Linked DNA regions of Cricetulus griseus. The protein of the gene in region 1 interacts with the protein of each later gene in a pairwise test. Links are inferred from orthologs where the notes say so. Each region holds a gene or a part of one and is shown in the gene's direction. Other genes may lie near its edges.

Evidence for each region.
Region 2: the proteins of Nfe2l2 (region 1) and Maff interact in binary tests that used the Homo sapiens proteins (3 or more experiments, as listed by UniProt). The link is inferred for Cricetulus griseus from reciprocal best matches to the Homo sapiens genes NFE2L2 and MAFF.
Region 3: the proteins of Nfe2l2 (region 1) and Mafg interact in binary tests that used the Homo sapiens proteins (3 or more experiments, as listed by UniProt). The link is inferred for Cricetulus griseus from reciprocal best matches to the Homo sapiens genes NFE2L2 and MAFG.

Annotation. Positions count from the first base shown.
Region 1 is NC_048599.1:99,366,643-99,372,877, forward strand, and holds the start of Nfe2l2 (nuclear factor erythroid 2-related factor 2), read left to right. Parts: upstream 1-2,815; 5' UTR 2,816-3,011; coding exon 3,012-3,056; intron 3,057-3,936; exon of another isoform or gene 3,937-4,087; intron 4,088-6,235.
Region 2 is NC_048595.1:376,525,792-376,531,901, forward strand, and holds the start of Maff (transcription factor MafF), read left to right. Parts: upstream 1-2,594; 5' UTR 2,595-2,829; coding exon 2,830-2,882; intron 2,883-6,110. UniProt on the Homo sapiens protein: Since they lack a putative transactivation domain, the small Mafs behave as transcriptional repressors when they dimerize among themselves.
Region 3 is NC_048600.1:133,124,351-133,130,596, reverse strand, and holds the start of Mafg (transcription factor MafG), read left to right. Parts: upstream 1-2,730; 5' UTR 2,731-2,748; coding exon 2,749-2,895; intron 2,896-4,966; exon of another isoform or gene 4,967-5,458; intron 5,459-5,514; exon of another isoform or gene 5,515-5,892; intron 5,893-5,914; exon of another isoform or gene 5,915-5,962; intron 5,963-6,062; coding exon 6,063-6,125; intron 6,126-6,211; coding exon 6,212-6,246. UniProt on the Homo sapiens protein: Since they lack a putative transactivation domain, the small Mafs behave as transcriptional repressors when they dimerize among themselves.

The DNA of each region.
Region 1 (6,235 bases):
ATCAATAAAGTTCTGATAAGCTACTAATCCAACTCTGACAGAGTACTAAACACTATATTGTACCACTATGCGATCATAACTGTAACTACAAGCTCAAGATTAAGGTGCTTTTCATTGTTTTAAATATATCTGTCAGGTTTTTTTTTAAGACCCATTAATTAACTTTTTAAGATTTTATTTTATGCCGGGTTGGTGGCTCACACCTTTAATCCCAGCACTTGGGAGCCAGAGGCAGGCGGATCTCTGTGAGTTCGAGGTCAGCCTGGTCTCCAGAGCGAGTGCCAGGATAGGCTCCAAAACTACACAGGGAAACCCTGTCTCGAAAAACCAAAAAAAAATTTATTTTATTTATTATGCATACAACATTCTGCTTCCATGTATATCTGCACATCAGAAGAGGGCACCAGATCTCATAGAGAATGGTTGTGAGCCACCATGTGGTTGCTGGGACTCAGGACCTTTGGAAGAGCAGTGCTCTTAACCTCCGAGCCATCTCTCCAGCACTGATATCTGTCAGTTTTAAGTGCCAATGCTTTCAACCAAATTGTTTCTGGCATGAGTATACTGCTAATGTGTCTAAAATTTATGTTTTCACAAACTCAAAGAACTCTTGTTACATTCCATCGAGCCTAATTGGACCCACCCAAACAGGTCAGATTCACTCCAAATAAATATTATTCAACCTTTCCCTGGTCCTGTGACTCCCTTCCCTCATCTTGGGGACCTCCCCAACCCCTTCCTCATCTTATGATCCTCCTCCCCTCAAGTACCAAAACCTAAGAAAAAAAAAATTCTTAAACTTTGTATTCTGCTCTGCCAACAGCTTGCCAGGTCTAAGAGGTACCAGAGAGTTCCATACAGCTTGGACTGTGATGAAACAACCAGCTACCCCAGGACATGGCAGCGTCCCAGCTTTCTTGGGTCCCCCAAAGATAGTCAACACCCCCCAGATCATCAGGAAGTAGTCTTGAGAACTTGATGTCCTTATTCTCTAACCAGCCATGCCTAACACCTCACCTTTTTAATGATAAGTAAAGGTGGGAATGAAAAGATGCAGGCATTATGCTGGCCTGCCCCTGTCACCTGGCAGAATGCACTCAGGCAGTACCCCTGGTCAGCCCAGGGTTCCATGAGTATTGGTCTGCACACAGGTGCAAAGGACCCCTTTAAAAGACAGACCCCAGCTCACTTAGACTCTCTTGCTCTCTTTCTGCTCTCTTCCATCTCTTCTCTTTCCATTCTCCTCTCTTTCTGCTCCTGTCTTCCTCTTCTGTCATCTGTGTCACTGTGTCTCTTTACCTCTTTTCTCTTTCCTTCCCCCTCCCTCCCCTTTCTAATAAAACCTCTCACTCAAGCTCTATCTGCCTGGCGTGTTTGTCTCGACGTCCATGGAATCCACCATGCCCTCCCCCACCCCCTGCAGGACCCCCTTCCTACTTTATCCTAGCATTTGAAGCAAAAGAACAACAATTAACACATTAGTGAACGCCCCTCGATTTTTTTCTAGGCCCTTTACGATCTGTTTTATAGATTGGATTTTTTTTTTCAGGGGCTAGGGAAGTATGTTTGGGAATGGACATTGTAAAAACAATCACCATCTCGGACAACAGAACCTAGTGGCATAGCCTATATTGGAGCCATGGGTCGTGACCCCTTTGGGGATGGATCAACTTTCACAGAGGTCACATTTCAGATATCAAATATTTACATTGTGATACATAACAGCAAAATTACAGTTATAAAGTAGCAGCAAAAGTAATTTTATGGTTTAGGGTCACAAGAGAAACTGTACTAAATGGTAGTAGCATTAGGAAGGTTGAGAACCACTGCTATATACCAGCCTTTGGGAGGTGGAGGCAGGAGGATAAGGAGCTCAAAACCACCCAGGTTTCATGAGACCCTATCTCAAAGTTCCAAAATAAAATCGTAAAAAAGAGGGGGAACTGTATCATGAGGATCCACACCTGTGAAGGATGCTATTTGTTGTGTGGCTGCTTCCTGTGTGTTCTGGGTGAACGACCCACACACTCCTTCAGCTCTGGCCGCTAGATGCGGGCACGTGGGAGAAATAGAGGGCGTTCACTTAAGTTTGCAATGTGGACGCATCTCCCTGGGGCAGAGCTGTCCCGCACCAGCATGAGCAGGACAGGGGGACAGAGAGCAGTTGGCTGTCTGCACAGTCCCTGCCCAGAGCCCCCACCCCCGGCTGGCGCCACAGTCAGCCGGTGGGGCGAGATAAAGCGGGCAAGGTTCTGCGGATCCGAATCAGGGAGGCGCAGCTCCGATAGCAGCGCCCGGGATGGGCTCCCGGTGTGTTTGCTCCAACTGTTTAAACTGCTTCAAAGCGCCAGAGCCCCAGCGACCTTCAGCAAACAGCTGCTAATCTCTAGCCAGGGAGAGCTGTCCCAGCGAGGACTCGGGCAGCCCAGGGCCTCTCGCCCGCACTCCGCCCCCGTGGGACCACGGCCACGCCCGGACCACCGCTAGAGGATGGTCATCAGCGGAGGCCGAGGGGAATACAGCAACTCTTGCCGGAAGCCCTCAGGCCCTTGACCCGCCCCTCTGGTCCCAGCCTTGTCCCTTTACCCTTGCCCCGCCCTAGGGCAAGCCCTCTGGCCCTTGCCCCGCCCCTCCGGCCCCTCTAAGTACCTTTACTCTCGCTCCGCCCTTCGCCATGTCTTCGGACCCTTTCCCTGCCCAGGACCCTTGCACGACTCCAGGCTCTTGCCCCGCCCCCAGTCCCTTGCCCCGCCCCCGGGCCCTCGCCGGGGACTCTAGCCCTTGCCTCTCGCTCCAGCCCTCACTCCGCCCTTAAGTTCCTGTCGCTTCCCCAGGTCCTTGTTCCGCCCCCAGGGGGCGGGGGGCGGAGCGGACTGAGACTGGCCGGACACTCAAGCGAGCCGGCTGTCTGCTGGATCCCGGCAGCTCCGTCGAGTCACTGCCGCCGCCGCACCTCGGCAGCCAACGTAGCGTCGCCGTCGGGGATCCTCAGTGCAGCGTTCGTCCTCAGCATGATGGACTTGGAGTTGCCGCCGCCAGGACTACAGTCCCAGCAGGTGCTGCCCCGGCCCTTGGGCTTATCGGCTGTGCCAGGAAGCAGACGGGAGCTCGAGGGGACAGTGGTCCCGGGAGGGAGGGACAGTCTGAACCCAGACTGCGACAGCCCGACCTGGGAGCTGCCCCCCGCCGGGCCGGGAAGGCAACGGGGGTGTTGGGGCAGCGATGAGAGTAGGGACCGAGCCTGAGGTCCCCGGGGGCACTGGGGTTGGGGTGTGGAGGAAGCTCGGGCTTGGTGGGGCCAGAGGGCATCAACACCACCTCGCTGGGTCGGATGCTCAGAGGCGGCGGGAGGGGGCGGACGCTGGCTGTCTTCGCCGGCGCAGCCCGGCCCTTTCCGGGCTTGCGTAGTTTCCCAGATTCGGTGCCGGTAAAAATGTGCCTAGTCACGGGGCCGTGCTCGGGGGAGCTGAGGTCTCCTCGGCGACCGCCCCGGAGACTGCTTCCCTCCCCTGGCCGCGACCTCCAGCGCGGCTGCCAAGCCCCCTTGGCCGTCTGTGGTTTTCTCAGCCCGAGAGCTCGTCGTCTGTAGGATCATGCCAGTCCGGCTTGATCTAGAAAAGCCCAGCCCTCTGGGGGCGGAAGAGAAAGTCACCGGGTGACCCTCGTGCTCAGGTGCCCCGACGGGCAGGGCTCCTCGCGCTTCCTCAGCCCGGGAATCCGGCATTGGCCTCACATCAGGCGAGGACTTGAGGACCTGGGCGGGCTCAGAGGCCCTAGGCAGCCGCACGCGGGGCTGTGTGTTCTGAGCGTCGTGACTCGCGGGGCCCCCACACTGTGTATGTGTGCGTGGCTGTGGCCTCCGGGTGGGTGACAGCGGCCGGTTGGCAGTCACGGAGGCCCTCGGTTGGCCCTTTCCTGCTTTATAGCGTGCAAACCTCGCTGCTCTGGGGCCAAGGGACAAGTTGGAGCTGTTGATCTGTTGCGCAATTGTTATTTTCCCCTGGGCGGCTTTGTCTTTGGATTTAGCATTGCAGAATTGCAGTCCCAGAATGTGTAAAGCAGGATATTCTGTTCCTTGCCGTCAAGGGTAAGAGTTGTAGATTAGAATTTGTTGCTTTTTATATTGACGATGAAGTTTTTGCGTTTAGCTATTATCCCTCCCTTGTGTCTTTAGTACATTTTTCCTTAGTGTTTGAGATTTTTTGCCTCCTCGATTTCTTAGCACATTGTGAACTTTTATGAACAGAGAGGATGGGACGCTTTCGTTTCATAACCCCTTGTTGATAAGTTTTGAAGATTGTTATGTAAGTGAAAATCAGTTTTTGGTCATACTTCTGGCACTTTTAAAGAAGTAAATGCTTATGTTGCCATTGTGTTGTACTTGGATTTTTAGGAAAAGGGAATGTGTAACTTGGTAAACAGAAAGTTAATTTAAATGTTAAATCGCTGACCCTGAAGGGCCTGATGTAAGCTTTTAGTTACTGACAGTGCATTAATTCTACTCCCTCTCTTGAACTTTCCCCCAGAAATGATTGGGGTTGTAGCTGGTTTTCATTAGGATGAATAAGTAAACTGTACTTTCTGATCTTCTGTTCTTCATTAGTAATCAAAAGGAATGCTTGTCTGGCCACAGGATACATGATACAAACGAACTTTGATTTTAAAGTTTTCTTCTTTTTTCTGTGTAGCATGTAGCATAACATTTCATGTACAAAAATGGCAGATGTACTGCTTTCTCCTCCATGTGAAAGTTTTCTTTGCCAACAACATTTCTTGTTATTTCCAGACAGCAACTTTGAAAAACAGAATTAAAAATTATAATTCATCTTAAAATCATTGTTTGGTAGTCCAGAAGGATTTGAACTGAGTTACAGATTTGAGCAAATGGTTGTGTTGTTGTAGGATAATGGTTTTAACTGCTCAATGACTCTTCATCTCAGGGGGAAAGCCATCCATTACTCTTTTCAGTGGTGTCTTGGAAAGATAAAAGTTGATGAAGTTGATATTGAAGATGAAGTTGATATTGAACGAGACAGATAAGCTTATTTTTAAACGTTAGACACAGAGAAAGTGGACAAGCCTTTCCTCTGGAATGAATGTTAAGCAAGACCAACTTGACTTTTTAGATATATGGAACATCTCTGAGACGTTACAGAAACCAAATGTGGATTGATAAATACACGACCACATCAGTCTTTCTATCTTAAAAATAACTAAGGCAGTGGCTGGGGAGATGGCTCAGTGGTTAAGAGCACTGTCTGTTCATCCAGAGGACCCAGGTTCAATTCCCAGCACCCACACAACAGCTCCCAACTATCTGTAACTCCAGTTCCAGGGTATCCAACACCCTCATACAAACATCCATGCAGGCAAAAACACAATGCATAAGAATAAAAAAAAATAAATGACTAAAAAAAATAATTAGGGCCATTTTGAAATTTCATTTATATTAACTTGGGTCCTTAAAAACAATGCTGGGGGAACAATCCTCTTTTAGGATTACCGGTGAGAGTTGAAAGCCAGATACGTGGTTCTTCTTAATGTTCATTTTTATTTAGGATGAGTTATGCTAAGCAAAGCTGCAGGAGAAAGGAGCACTTGAGCAGTTACCTTTATTTCTAGATGTTTCCTTCATCGTGATTGAGCATATTTAAAAGGTTTTCATAAATCTATCTTCTTACTTTTTCCTTGAACCAGGGTTAGCTTGAGGATGTAGGAAGAATTTGGAACTTAGATACTAACTTACCTAGATAGTAGGTAAGTAAGTGGATACTCCTTTGCAAGCCAAGCAATATGGTAATTGCCTCTTATGTATAATTTCTCAGTACCCCCATGGGGAACACTTTTTATCTTCAGTTTTCAGGTTAGGAGAGAGGCCAAGATGACTCCTCCAACTGTTCCATGTTGAAGATAGAATTCAAACTTAGCCTGACTTCTTGGGCTCTGAATCTCTACTTCCAAACTGGACCAAAGGGAACTTGAAGCAGGTCCACAAAGCTTCAAGTGGGTTGTTTAAAAAACAACAACAGAAAACCAAACCAGGGAGGAGAGGCTGGGATGATAAAAAGGTATTATCTGCACCTTCCTCTCTTACCAAGGAAGTTAATAACCATTGAGAGGGAGTGGATCCTTTCAAGACAGCAGCGTGGGGAAACCGGTAACTGGATGGTGCCTGTGGTCCTGTCCAGGAAGACACAGAAGCAGGAGGCCTAGGCAGCTTTCATTTGGAGAGGCA
Region 2 (6,110 bases), on another chromosome or scaffold:
GCTGGAGGCAGAAGCCAGAGGTTTCAGACACCCCTGAAGCTGCAGTTACAAAAGGTTGTGAGTCACCTGGTGTGGGTAATGAGAACCTAGCTCAAGTCTTCTGCAAGAGCAATATATGGCCTTAACTGTGAGCCAATTCTCCACCTGAAATACCTTTTTTTAAATTTTCAAATTTTATTCATCATCCTCTCTCCTCTCTCTCTCTCTCTCTCTCTCTCTCTCTCTCTCTCTGTGTGTGTGTGTGTGTGTGTGTGAGAGAGAGAGAGAGAGAGAGAGAGAGAGAGAGAGAGAGAGAGAGATGTCTAGGCCAGAAGACAGCTTTGTAAGGGTCACTACTCCCCCTTGACCATTACATGGGTTCTATGGGACTGAACTGTGATGTCAGGCTTACATCCTTGGGTGGCAAGTGTCTTTATCTGCTGAGCCATCTTGCTGGCTCCAAACTATGAGAATATCTTGCCTCTTGTCAAACACAAATTCCTGCTGATGATCATTGTTGCAATGTGTTATTACAATGTGGTGGCTTGATGGTCACTCTAATGCCACCGTTCTCTCCTCTTGAGGGATTTCCATGCTTTGTTTCTATTTATTTCTATCAGGGTAAACTCAACAATTCTCACTTAATAGGTTACGATCCATTACTGCTCTATTTAAACGCCCAAGTTGTCCCAGATTTAGCTAGTCAGAGCTGCCTCAAGCCAGAGAGCCCTGCCCCACTTTTTTTTTTTTCTTACAGGAAGGCAATTTATTAACAGAAAACAACCTGAGAAGTCCTGTCCACAGACAGTGACCACAGCGACCTTCTTTCCTGTGGGGGCTGTTTGAGGGGATGGAGGTCACATCCTCAATCAGCCTGATCCTTCATTCCAAGTGAGCAGGAACTCTGAGGACTGACAGGTTCTGGAGTCGTAGTCTTGTTTCCTCCTGTGGCCCACAGTTTGGTAGACAGGATAACAGTGCCCAGTCCTTGAAGCCGACATGACAGCATATGGGGAGCTTTCACCTTCACCCCACCAGTCCTTCTTGGCAATGGTTTCCTTACCAGAAAGATCAGTGACACTGACAAAGGTGTCACTGAAAGATGCAAAGATGTGAGAGATACCAAATAATTCTCTCCTCCAACCACCTGAGCTCTGAGGTGGAAGACCTATTCTTCATCATTTGCCTTTGCCTTGCAGCGTACTTTTTTTTTTTTTTTTTTTTTGAGTCCTCTTGGGTCTCTGCCACTGGAAGGAGAGTGTGAGAAGGCCAAGCCCACTTTTAAATGTGACAGTGCACAACATGGTTTGACCATTACCAAAACAAGATCAACCTCTATGGGCATCGGGGTGTGGATATGAAGCCTTCCTTACTCCTTGGTGCTCTTAGGCTGGGGATGAGGCCAAAGGCTCTAACCACATGGAGTCCCCACGTGTCGTATGGTCTACCGGATTCCTTCACTAGTTGAGCACCTATTTGCCAGGCATGGCCTCAGCTCTTTAAAAGGTAGGAAAGTGGGGGTGAACAGGAGAGACAGCTCATGACTGTGTGCTTCTAGAGTTTGAGAACATTAGTTCAGAGGCCAGACTTTAAACAATTCTTATTTATAACTTTTATATGTAGCTTAAACTCATTTGTTGTGTGTCTGTGTGTGAGTGCATACATGCCACTGTAAGTATGTGGCGGTCAGAGGACAGCCTTCAGGAGTCGGTTGTATCCTTCCATGTGTAAATTGTGGGACCAAACTCCAATTGTCAGAGTTAGTGACAGGCACTTTTACCCACATGGTGGAGGCAGGAATCACTTGGGCAAGTGGAGGCACAGTTGAAGATCCAGGTCCCATAGGTACAAACAGAAACGGCATTTAAAACCACGAGACTGGATGAGCTCATCCGGGCAAAGGGTGTCGATCGAAGAGAGAAGAGTCCAGTGAACTGTAAAGTGAAGCGACATCTCCCCTGCCACTCTCGAGAGGTGTCACGTGAATGCATCCAGAGGACAAAGTCTGGAGGCTACTGAGAACCCAGGAAGCTCTGGCTGTGGGCCCCTAGAGCGGGGCCCACTAGGGGCGGGGTCTCACTTTGGCTGTGGGCGTGGCCTTGGCTCGGGCCGCAGCTCTGGGACCGGCCAGCGGCCGGGGCGATGACGTCAGTGCATGACTGGGTTTTTATGAATGAAAGGAATCCTGTGCGTGAGTAATTCCGGGAAGCTCGCCTTACAACTGCGCGCGGCTCCGGCCCCCTGCGCCGCCCGCCTCATAACAAAACTCCGAGCGGCGCTACGCGGAGCCGGGTTCCTAGTGAACCGCGGTCCCAGTTGGAGAGGAGTGGGGCTTGAGAGCGGCCTGGGACCGCCACCGCGACAGCTGCGGGGACAGCTGCGACAAGCGCGCACGTAGAGTCGGGCCTGGCAGAGAGAGGTAAGGACGCGTCAGGGACCGGGACCGCGCCTGGGGTGAGCGCTCCGGGTTGTGCCTGGGCCGCGCTGTGGGCGCCCCCGTGCATCTGCCCGCCGAGGGGCCTCCGAGGGGCTGGCTGGGGGACGGTTCGCGGGCCCCGGAGGAAGCCGGGGCGGGGCGGGGGGCGGGAGGCGGGGCGGGGCGTGCACGTACGTGACTCGGTGAGAACAGTCCTGGAGCCCGGCCCAGCACCGTGTGTGCGCGGTTTGTTTACGTCCCCCGGCAGCGGGGCGTGCGCGTGTGTTCTCTGGGGAGCGCCCTGGGTCCCACGGGCTGAGCGCGCACGGGGTACCTCTGGGTGTGTGTGTTTGTCTTTGGCCGCGCGCGCTCCCTGGAGACTGACACTAACCCGGTGTACCTTGAAGTGTGTGCACCGGTGTCCACTGGAGCAAATGCGGAATAAGGACCCGAGTGAAGGAAGTGGCCCAGTCGATGGTTACACCAGGTCTGGAATTTTTTTTTTCTCTCCCTCCTCCCCACCCTCCGCTATCCTCTCACTTCCCACCAGCCGGTACTGCCCGGCCCCAGTTGTCTCCGGAGTTTCCCCTGGTTGGAGCCATGTGACATCAGTGTTTGTTCCTCGCCCAGTGCGGGTGCCTGCAGCTTTAGGTAGAGCAGAAGTGAGCGAGCCAGCCAGCCGTCTCCTGGCCATCTGGTGTACCTGGTAACGAAGTACGTGGAAGTCCCTCTTTAGCCCCAGGTTTTCTGGCTCTGTATGGACTGTTCATCTCTGGACTGTCCCATTCCTCCGGTCCCAGGAGAAATAGAGAAGGCCAGAAAGGCCTTGGCAAAGATTGGGGAAGGCAAGGCTCCCAGGCTACAGTGGCTAGCCTAATCTGGATGTCTGAGGCTGCACCTGCTGGGTCCTGAAGGATGGAGTGAGGCTAATAGCCACACTTCTGGTAGTTTCAGTTCTCAGATGGAACTCGTTAGACTGGACCCCAGGACACACCTAGAGTCCACCCTGAACCAGCAAGATCAGCCGGCAGTATAACCCCTGGTCCTCCTTCGGGAAGGGTTAATGTGGGAGGGGAGCACAGCAAGAAAACACCTGCTTAGGCCAGCAACCTGAAGGACTGCTGGTTCCCGGAACACCATGGTCATACTCAAACTTTCCCTACTTGAGCGTTCTGGAATCCAAGGAGGTGGCAACTAAGCTTGTTAGGGGGCGGAATCAATGATACTTCAACTTTGAGCCAGTGAGTTCTGCTATCACTGTGAGAACTGCAGTGTCCCACCCCCATCTGCGGCAGGGTGGCAGGAGAGCTTAGTCCCTGGCAGCTGCAATGCACAGCCTGTTTACCAGGGGAAACTGGGAAGGCAGAGCCAACCCCAAGGCCTGCAAATGGAGTTGTGTGTAGAGTGGGTGGTTGAGGGGGCTGCAGCCAGGACCCTAGGATTTAGGTGGGTCCATCCTCAAAACTGATCAAGAAACACTCTCCAGTGGGGCTGGGGGGTTAGTGGTGAGGGGAAGTGGCTAACTGGCTCACTGACAGAGGGAAACTTAGCATGGAGAGATTCTGTTTCTCCTTGATCCCCAGGGGTCCATTAGAACCCAGGACCCCTAGGTAATGCCCCCCTTTTTAATGAGTGTCTGGTGCCAGCAGAGGTCAGAAGAGGGTCTTGGGTCCCTCAGAATTGTAGTTACCGATGGTTTTGAGCTATCATGTGGGTGCTGGGAACTAAATTTGGGTCCTCTGCAGGGGCAACAAGTGCTCTTAATCACTGGGCCATCTGTCCAGCTTACCTATTTTTTAAGGGAGGATTTATTTTGGCTCATAGTGTGAAGGGATGGGTATGTACTCACTGCAATAGGAAGGCCTGGTGAGAGCTGCTCACCTATGGCTGTGGTAGTGTGGGCTGCTGGCTCCCCTCTCACTGCACTGGGAAGCTTTGCTGACACTTAGCCTTTGCACAATGGCTGGGCTAGATGCTTAGGGTTGTAGTAAACAGACAGATCCACGGACCACATTCTGGGAAGGGGCCATGAAGGGGAAGTTACTTTGGCCTAAGTAGTAATAGGGCTCCTACTTAGCCAGGGTGATCATGGAAGTCTTCCCTGTGGAGGTGGCTAGGGAGTAGAGTTTGATGGTGCTGTGATTCTGGAACCCAGAGGACAAGGGCTGTGATTCCTTTTTGGCCATTCAGGACTCAACACAGGGCCTGGCACACAGTAGGTGCTTCTTGGATATGTGGATAGTTGAAGAAATGGGCAATGGGTCCATATCCCTGAGCTCCAGGGAAACAGAAAGCAAGACTGTGAACTGTAGGAGTCTTGCAGGAATTTCCCCCAAAATGAGCAGGTGGTGCAGGTAGCTTCTTCTTTCACACACAGAGCTGTGTTCCTTTTGGCCAATAGTCATTAGGAAATCCAATCTGCTCATTTGTTACTTATTAGCAAAAAGAATGCTGGGAGAGTGAAGTGAACATGTTATCAGCTGGGGGCTCCTTTGTGGGCTGGGACAGCTGAGAGCATGGGCTCTGTGGTTTTGATATTTTTTTCTAAAGATTGATCTAAAGTTCATTTTTATTTACATAGGTGTTTGTGCCTTAGTGAATTGATGTGTGCCATATGTGTGCAGATGGCTGTGGAGGCCAGAGGGTGTCAGATCCCTGGAACTGTAGTTACAGGTGGATATGATCCACTTGACTTGGTATTAAGGCCAGAACCAGGGTCCTCTGCAAAAGCAGCAGGTGCTCTTAACCACAGAGCCATCTCTCCAGCCCTATTTTTGTTTTTGTCTTATGTAGCCTGAGCTGGCTTTGAACTTCTGGTCTTTCTATTTCTGCCTCTTGAGGGCTGCCATCATGATGTATATGACCACACCTAACTAGCACAAGGACTTGAAACATGCCAAACATGGTCAAGTTTGTAGGTTTGTGCCTCTAGTGACCCTTTGATGCTATTGGAGATGGAGGTTGGGGCAGAGGAGGGAGTAAGGCAGTGGTGAGGCCACTGTGGTCTTGGTCTGGCTGGAAGAGGAAGTGGCCCCTAGCTGTGCAGGTGGAGGAGAAAGGAGGTCAGGGCTCATAGCCTGGCTGCTTATGCTGTCATGCTTCTGCCTCCAGGAAGCCTTCCCTGGTTTCTTTTCCTTTCCTCCAGTGTCTCCACCCTGCTGGAGGCTTTGGAGCTTTCCACTGGGCCTGAATCTGACAGAATAAACTCGGACATTGCCATTGTCGGGAGGTTGGGCACGTTGAGAAATCCAGGCCCAGAGAAAGGGAGTGACAACCTGAAGTCACACGGTGAGAGTGTGGGTAGCAGAATGGGGCTGGAACCCAGGCTGCTGCTCCCCACACTGCTCAGTTCCCAGTCTTGAGCCCTTCCAGCAGGGAGGAGGCGCCCCGTGCTTACTGCCAAGACCCAGGCAAACACATTTTTTCCCTCTGTCCTCACCAAGTAAGCAGTATGGCTCAGCAGCCAGAGAGGAGCCCATGCCAGTGGGTGGGCCGTCTACAGGATGTCTCGGGTGTACAGCTGAGGGGCCAGAGATGGGGACAGGAAGGCCATGGCCCCTGGCTGGTCAGCCGTCATGTCCTCAAGAATGAGCTCACTCCTGGGTCTCCAAAGAATACTAGGAACCTCAGATCTGGAGTTGGCCCTACTGGCTTCCCCAGGAAGAAGAAAAGCCTCAAGGGTGGGGTCCCTGATCAGGCAGACTAGTGGCAGTGG
Region 3 (6,246 bases), on another chromosome or scaffold:
AGGGCCATGACATGTAGCACCAGCCTCAGGCTTAACCCCAAACCTAGGGCTCTCTACGCCGAAGAATCAGCTCCACACCACAACCCCAGAGACTCCAGAAGGGTTCATCACTGACTATTTCTTGGAGACACTTGTGGCCCTGGGTGTGAACATGCCCAAACTTTGTACCAAGACTAGGTTCCTATGAATGCCGAGCAAGGACTGGGGATTGAGACGCCCTGACAGTGGAAGACCCCGATGACTCGCAAAGATGACTCTGAGGTGTGAATGAAAGCCAGACCAAATGCTGTGAGGACCACGACGTAAGGGGTGGGATCCATGAACAGGGATCAACCCGGCAACTGTGCCCTTCAGTAGCTGCCCCAGGACCCATAGCATGCACTCCTAAGGATGCCTGAGCAGGTGAGACAGGGAGCAGCAGATGAAAGAACAAGTCCTGAGGGGGGAGAGTGGCTAGGGGCTCCTGCATCTCCTCTAACCTAATAATACGTGTGTGTGTGTGTGTGTGTGTGTGTGTGTGTGTGTGTGTGTGTGTGTGTGTGCGCGCGCGTGCGTGCGTTAGTATGTCTAATATCCTGGGTTTGACCCCTAACATTGTGTGTGTGTGTGTGTGTGTTAGTATGTCTAATATCCTGGGTTTGACCCCTAACATTGGGGGGTAAAAAAGAGCTTGAGGGCTTCCTGATCCCAGTGCATGCCTGGAGTCCCAGTTACTTTTTGTTGTTGTTGTTTTTCAAGATTGGTTTCCCTGTGTAGCCCTGGCTGTCTTGGACCCGATTTTTAGACCAGGCTAGTCTCGAACTCAAAGATCCACCTGCCTCTGACCCCCCACCCTTACCCCAGTGCTGGGATTAAAGGAGTACACCACCACAGCCCAGCAAGCCCCAGTTACTCTTGAGTCCAAGAGTTTGAAGCTAGTCTGAGCAAGAGAGTAAGACTTATCTTCATAAATAAGGGCAAACAAGGAGCGCGTGGGAGGAAGCTCGTGCCTGTACCGTCAGAACTCGGGAGGCTGAAGCAGGAGGGTTGCTGCTGAGCTTAAGCCAGCCGAGGCTGCAGAGTGAGACCCTGTCTTACAACTACAACAAAAAAACAAAGGAAAGGAGGATGAAGACAACAGAAACCCTGAGGGCATAGGGAGTAAGTCTACATTCACACAAGCCACACTGTACCCTGAGACTCTAGCTACACCCAGCGAGAGATAAAGACCCCACCCACACACACACTCCCCTAAGAAATACAATGTTAAGAACTACTTTTGGCCCTACAGGACAGGCAGTGACAATAAACTGAGGTGTGAGATCCCCAAACAAATTCCTGGAGGCTGGCGGAACGGACTGGAGGATCCTGGCTTAGCCTGTGCCACACGTCCATCCGCTACCCAGTGGCACTGAACAGGAAGAACACACACAAACCCATCCCCAGCCCGCTTTCCACCTGAGAAGGGAGGGCCACGTAGAAAGACCTGAAACTCTCCCGCTTTTTCACTTTTTATTAGACGCTGCACCGCAACGGGATCGGGACCATCAGCGCGCACCGCGAAGCCCCAGTGCCAGTCGGGCGTTTGGGGGCGCGGGCCGGGGTGTGGGCTGGGCCTTCCCAGCTCTCTGACCCACTCGGGAACGAGGGGGCATCGCAACAGGATGCGGTAAGAAGCTCCGCAACCGTGTCACATCATCAGCACGGCGGGCGGGGGCCCCGCGTGGCGCGGCGACTCCGGGAGGCAGAGGCGGGGGCATCGCCCGGAACCCCAAGCCAGGGTGCGCTCGCTGTCCCGAGAAAACCCCGCGTGCCGGTGGACGCGGCAACACGGGCAAACCTGCCCTCCGACCTCGGCCCGAGCAGGCGAGGAGACCCGGGGGGAACCGGAGCCACCGGTGTCCGCGCCGCGGAGAGCTCGGCACGCGGAGGGCGCCGCGCGAGTCCCGCGAGACGTCCGCTGGGCGCGGCGGGTTGCCGGGACGACGGCGCCGGGCTGCGCAGGCGTGCTGGGGCGCGCTCGCCTCGCCGTCGCCGCGCCTTTCCCTTTAAGCTCGGGCCGGCCGCGTCGCCGCTTCATGAATGGAGCCCACGTGACCAAACATCATGTGACGTCTGAGGAGCGGCGGCGGCGGCGGCGGCGGCGGCGGCGGTGGCGGATTCTGACCCGGTCCGGCCCGGCCTTCCCAGCGCGCTCGGCCCGGCCCGCGCGAGCGCCCAGTCGCCCCAAGCCCGCGGCCCGGACCCTTCGCGCCCGCCCCAGCCCCGCGCAGCCTCGGAGCGCGCGCGGCCCCGCCCCAGCCCCGCCTCGGCCCGCCGGGGCCCGCAGTGTGGTGAGTGCGGGGGCTGGGGCGGGCGGGCGAGCGGCGGGCGGGCGGCGGGGCGGGGCCTGGCCTCGGGGCTGCGGCGCACCGTGCGACGGCGGCGCGGGCCCCGGTTTCTGCGCCAGGCGGTCGGAAGCCGGCGGCTCGCCGGTGCCACCCCCGGGCTGTGGGCCGGGCGAGGCGAGGCTGGGAGCGCCGGGCGTGCGCGCGACGGACCCCCGGGCGCCCCGCGGGGGGCGCGATTAAAGGGCGAGGTCGGCGCGTCTGCCCGGGTCAGCGGGGCGGCCGCACCGAGCTGCTGACTCATCAGGTGTCTGTCGGCTTCCGCGCGGGCGGGGCCGGGCGGGCAGGGGCAGGGGCGGCGGCGGCGGCGGGGAGACCCCGCTGAGCGGCTTGGGCTCGCCACGCGCGTGCGAGCCCAGCGGAGACGTGCTGAGTCATCAGCATGAGGTCACTCGGTGCTCCTGCTGACGCGGGCCCGGGGCGGGGGGCCCAGGCCGGCTCTCGGGCAGTCCGAGCGGGCGGCAGGGCTCGATCCGGGCGGCGAAGGTCGGGCCAGGAGCCGGGGGTCGTGTTTAAGTTTATCGGACCTGTGAGTTGGAGGCAAAGGCCTCGAGGGACGCATCACCGGGGTGCGCCGCGGGTTCCTCGCGGGGTGGAAGGTAGAGCCCCGGGCTTACGCATCCCCCTAGGCTCTGGGGCTCCTGGTCCAGCTCCCCAAACTGGGAGACCGATCGGAGTACGCTGAGGGGAGGAGCCTAGGTGGGCCGAGCCCGCTTGTCTGGGAAGGAGGCTTTCCTTCTGAGTGACCCTGGCTGGCCGGGCGGCGTCGGCCTTGCACCGAAAAGACCGGGAGTCAGGACAGAAGGGTTGTGTGGCTTGAGGAAGCCGGGGCAGCTCTGCCAGCTAATGGGAGGGAAGCGTGGATGGTACCCGGTGGAAGTTTTGAGGTGCGAGCATGGAGTGGAGAACGTAGTTCTTTCTCATTTACCTCTCCTTTATCCCTGTCAGAAGAGTTTGGGGTCCCACTGTCGCCCGAAGTTAGCAAAAAGTGTGTGTGCCCTGTTGGGAGGCTGACCTGATGACAGCCTGTGTGGGGTGTGGCCCCCACCTTTGCATGGCTGCGTGGATGTTTACTGATTTCTCTTGCTGTGAAGGGTCCCGAGCTCTATTCCGCATTGCTTTCCTTGCCCGGGGTTTCATGGCTAGCTTAAGCTGACCTTGGGGTTAGGCTTAGAGACTTCCCATCCGCACTTACTACACTGAGCCCTGAGAATGCTCGTAGGTGCCAGGTGTTTCGTTTAGGGTGGAACTTTGTGCCCTATGAAAATTCAAGATCCCAGAGAGGTGTTTAAACTTTGGAGTCACTATGCTTCTGTGACATTTAAGTTGTTTTCAAATACTGTCAGTATCTGGGGTAGGGGAGACCTGAGTTTGGGCCTCGTGCACTGGAGTTTGCCCGAAAGGTTGAGGAAGGGCCACTGTCTTGCTTGAGACTAGTGTCCAGATGTCTGCTCTGAGAGTATTTGGAGGAGAGCAGAGCTGGGGGGCAAGCTGGCCTTGAGCAGCTTCTCTGAGCAGCTTCCTCAGGCTCTGAACTATACCTCAGGACAGCTGTCCCCCAAAGCTGTCTGCCTTGTCACCGTGTGACCCTAGGTTGGCAGGAGCTAGGCAGGCAGCTGGAAACACTAGCTTTGCTGAGACCTGCTCTCCCTCCCCGCTTAAGCATGCACAAGCACGGGCGAGCACACACACACACCTTTCACACACACACACACACACACCTTACACACACACACACACCTTACACACACACACACCTTTCACACACACACCTTACACACACACACACCTTACACACACACACCTTACACACACACACACCTTACACACACACACCTTACACACACACACACACCTTACACACACACCTTTCACACACACACACCTTACACACACACACACCTTACACACACACACACCTTACACACACACCTTTCACACACACACACACCTTTCACACACACCTTTCACACACACACACCTTTCACACACACACCTTTCACACACACACACACACCTTTCACACTCACACACACACACACACACACCTTACACACACACACACACACACACACACCTTTGACCAGGAGGCAGTTGGCTGCACTTGTGCTGATCAGGCCTTCAGCAGAGGGGAAAATCTGTTGAGGAGGCACTTTTCAGCTCCCAGCTACCACACACTGCACTTCCCTGTGCAATCGCGGGAAGTCTGCAGTCTGTGTGAAAAAAGCTCCTGCTAGGGCTGCCTCTCTCACCTTTTCTTGTGCTCCTGGTGTGAGCCGGGGGCCACCTTCTAAGAAAGGCAGCTCCTCTTCAGACCCCTAGCCCTGACTTCTTTCTCTTTGATCTAACGGGACTCTTGCCTCTGAAAATGCTCTTAATCTGGCCCTGGAGAAGTGTCTCCAGCTTCTGTGCTTAGCACGTCCTGTGCAAGACTGAGAGTAGTAGGGTCTTTGCTCAGATGAGAACAGGAGCCTCTACCTCCCTGGCTCACACTTTAGTTCTTTTGATAAGTGTTAAGAAGCACCCCCCCACTCCCCACCCCCACTCCTCACCCCCACCCCCCACCCCCACCCCCCACCCCCCACCCCGACACATTGTTGCCTAAAGTGCTTACAGCCTTCAGCCTCCCCTGGAAGACACTGCAACAACCTCTCCTGCAGTTCCTTCCATTTCCCTGCATCTGTAGCCATGGTGCTGGGCTAAGTGGGGGATTCCCAGCCTGGGTATACAAAAATGTTCTTGGCAAGGCTTTAGAAATCAGAAATTTTAAAAAGTGCCAGAGGGTAGCTGACCGTAGAAGGTAGCTGTTGTGCTTTTGTTCCCTGGCCCTGTGGTCACTGACCCTAGGCAGAGAGCCAGAGACTAGCCAGTGACCCAAAAGGGGCTGGCTCTTGCCTGTTACCAGCTAACAGTGCCCTCCCTCTGTTAATTGTGGGGGCCCTTGTGAAACACCCAGTATCGGGTGGGGCAGGAGCACAGGATGCCGCAACCAAGCCACAGGATGGTTACTCCATCTGTTAAGGAGGTGGACAGGGAGGACTGGAGGGGCCTGGGCTCAGCTCCTCCCAGCTGGATTGCCTGCTACCTGGAAGGTGAGAGGATTCCCAGTCAGCACAGTTAGAGCAAACCTGGTTGGTCCTCTGCCAAAATGAGGCAGGAAGCAGCCTCCTAAGTCCTAGAGGGAGAAAGGGCTTTCTTTTGTCCTGGGCAAGCTTAGGGACAAATACATGGAAAGTAGGACCCTGCAGTACAGGGTCCTTGACTGACCCTTGCCTGCCGTTGGTCCCAGTAGTGGGTCTCCTGGGGAACTGTTGGCTGGCCTTAGGAATGGGAGAGCGGCTCAGGAAGAGAGGGAGGCGATGTGCTGAGTCAGCGTGACTCGCCAGGAACAGTGTGCTCTGGGGCAGTGCTGGGGTTATTTTTAAAGCTCAGCTTCCTTCTAGGCTTGCCCCTCCTGCAGCCCAGACCTTCTAATCTCTCTCTGCTCCCTTTGTCTTCTGCCTTCACACAGCTGGCTCTTCCCTGGGTAAAGCCTCCCCATCTCCCACCTGTCTTTCTAGGGAAAGGGCCTTCTGAAGCAGCCCAGCTCAGGTCAGGTGAGGGCAAGGTTCAGTGGGCTGAGCACCGGACAGCAAGCTTCCTGTTGGGGTGTAAAGGGGGTCTACAGGGTCCTGACCTGTGCTCTGTGTCTTGCAGAGTGCCTGCTCATTGTGCCCCCGGGTTATGACGACCCCCAATAAAGGAAACAAGGCCTTGAAGGTGAGTGGGGAACCTGGGCTCGGGGTGTGATGGGGTGGGCCTTCCTGCTCTGCCGTGACCCCGTGACCCTGTGAATTCTCCTCCAGGTGAAGCGGGAGCCGGGTGAGAATGGCACCAGCCT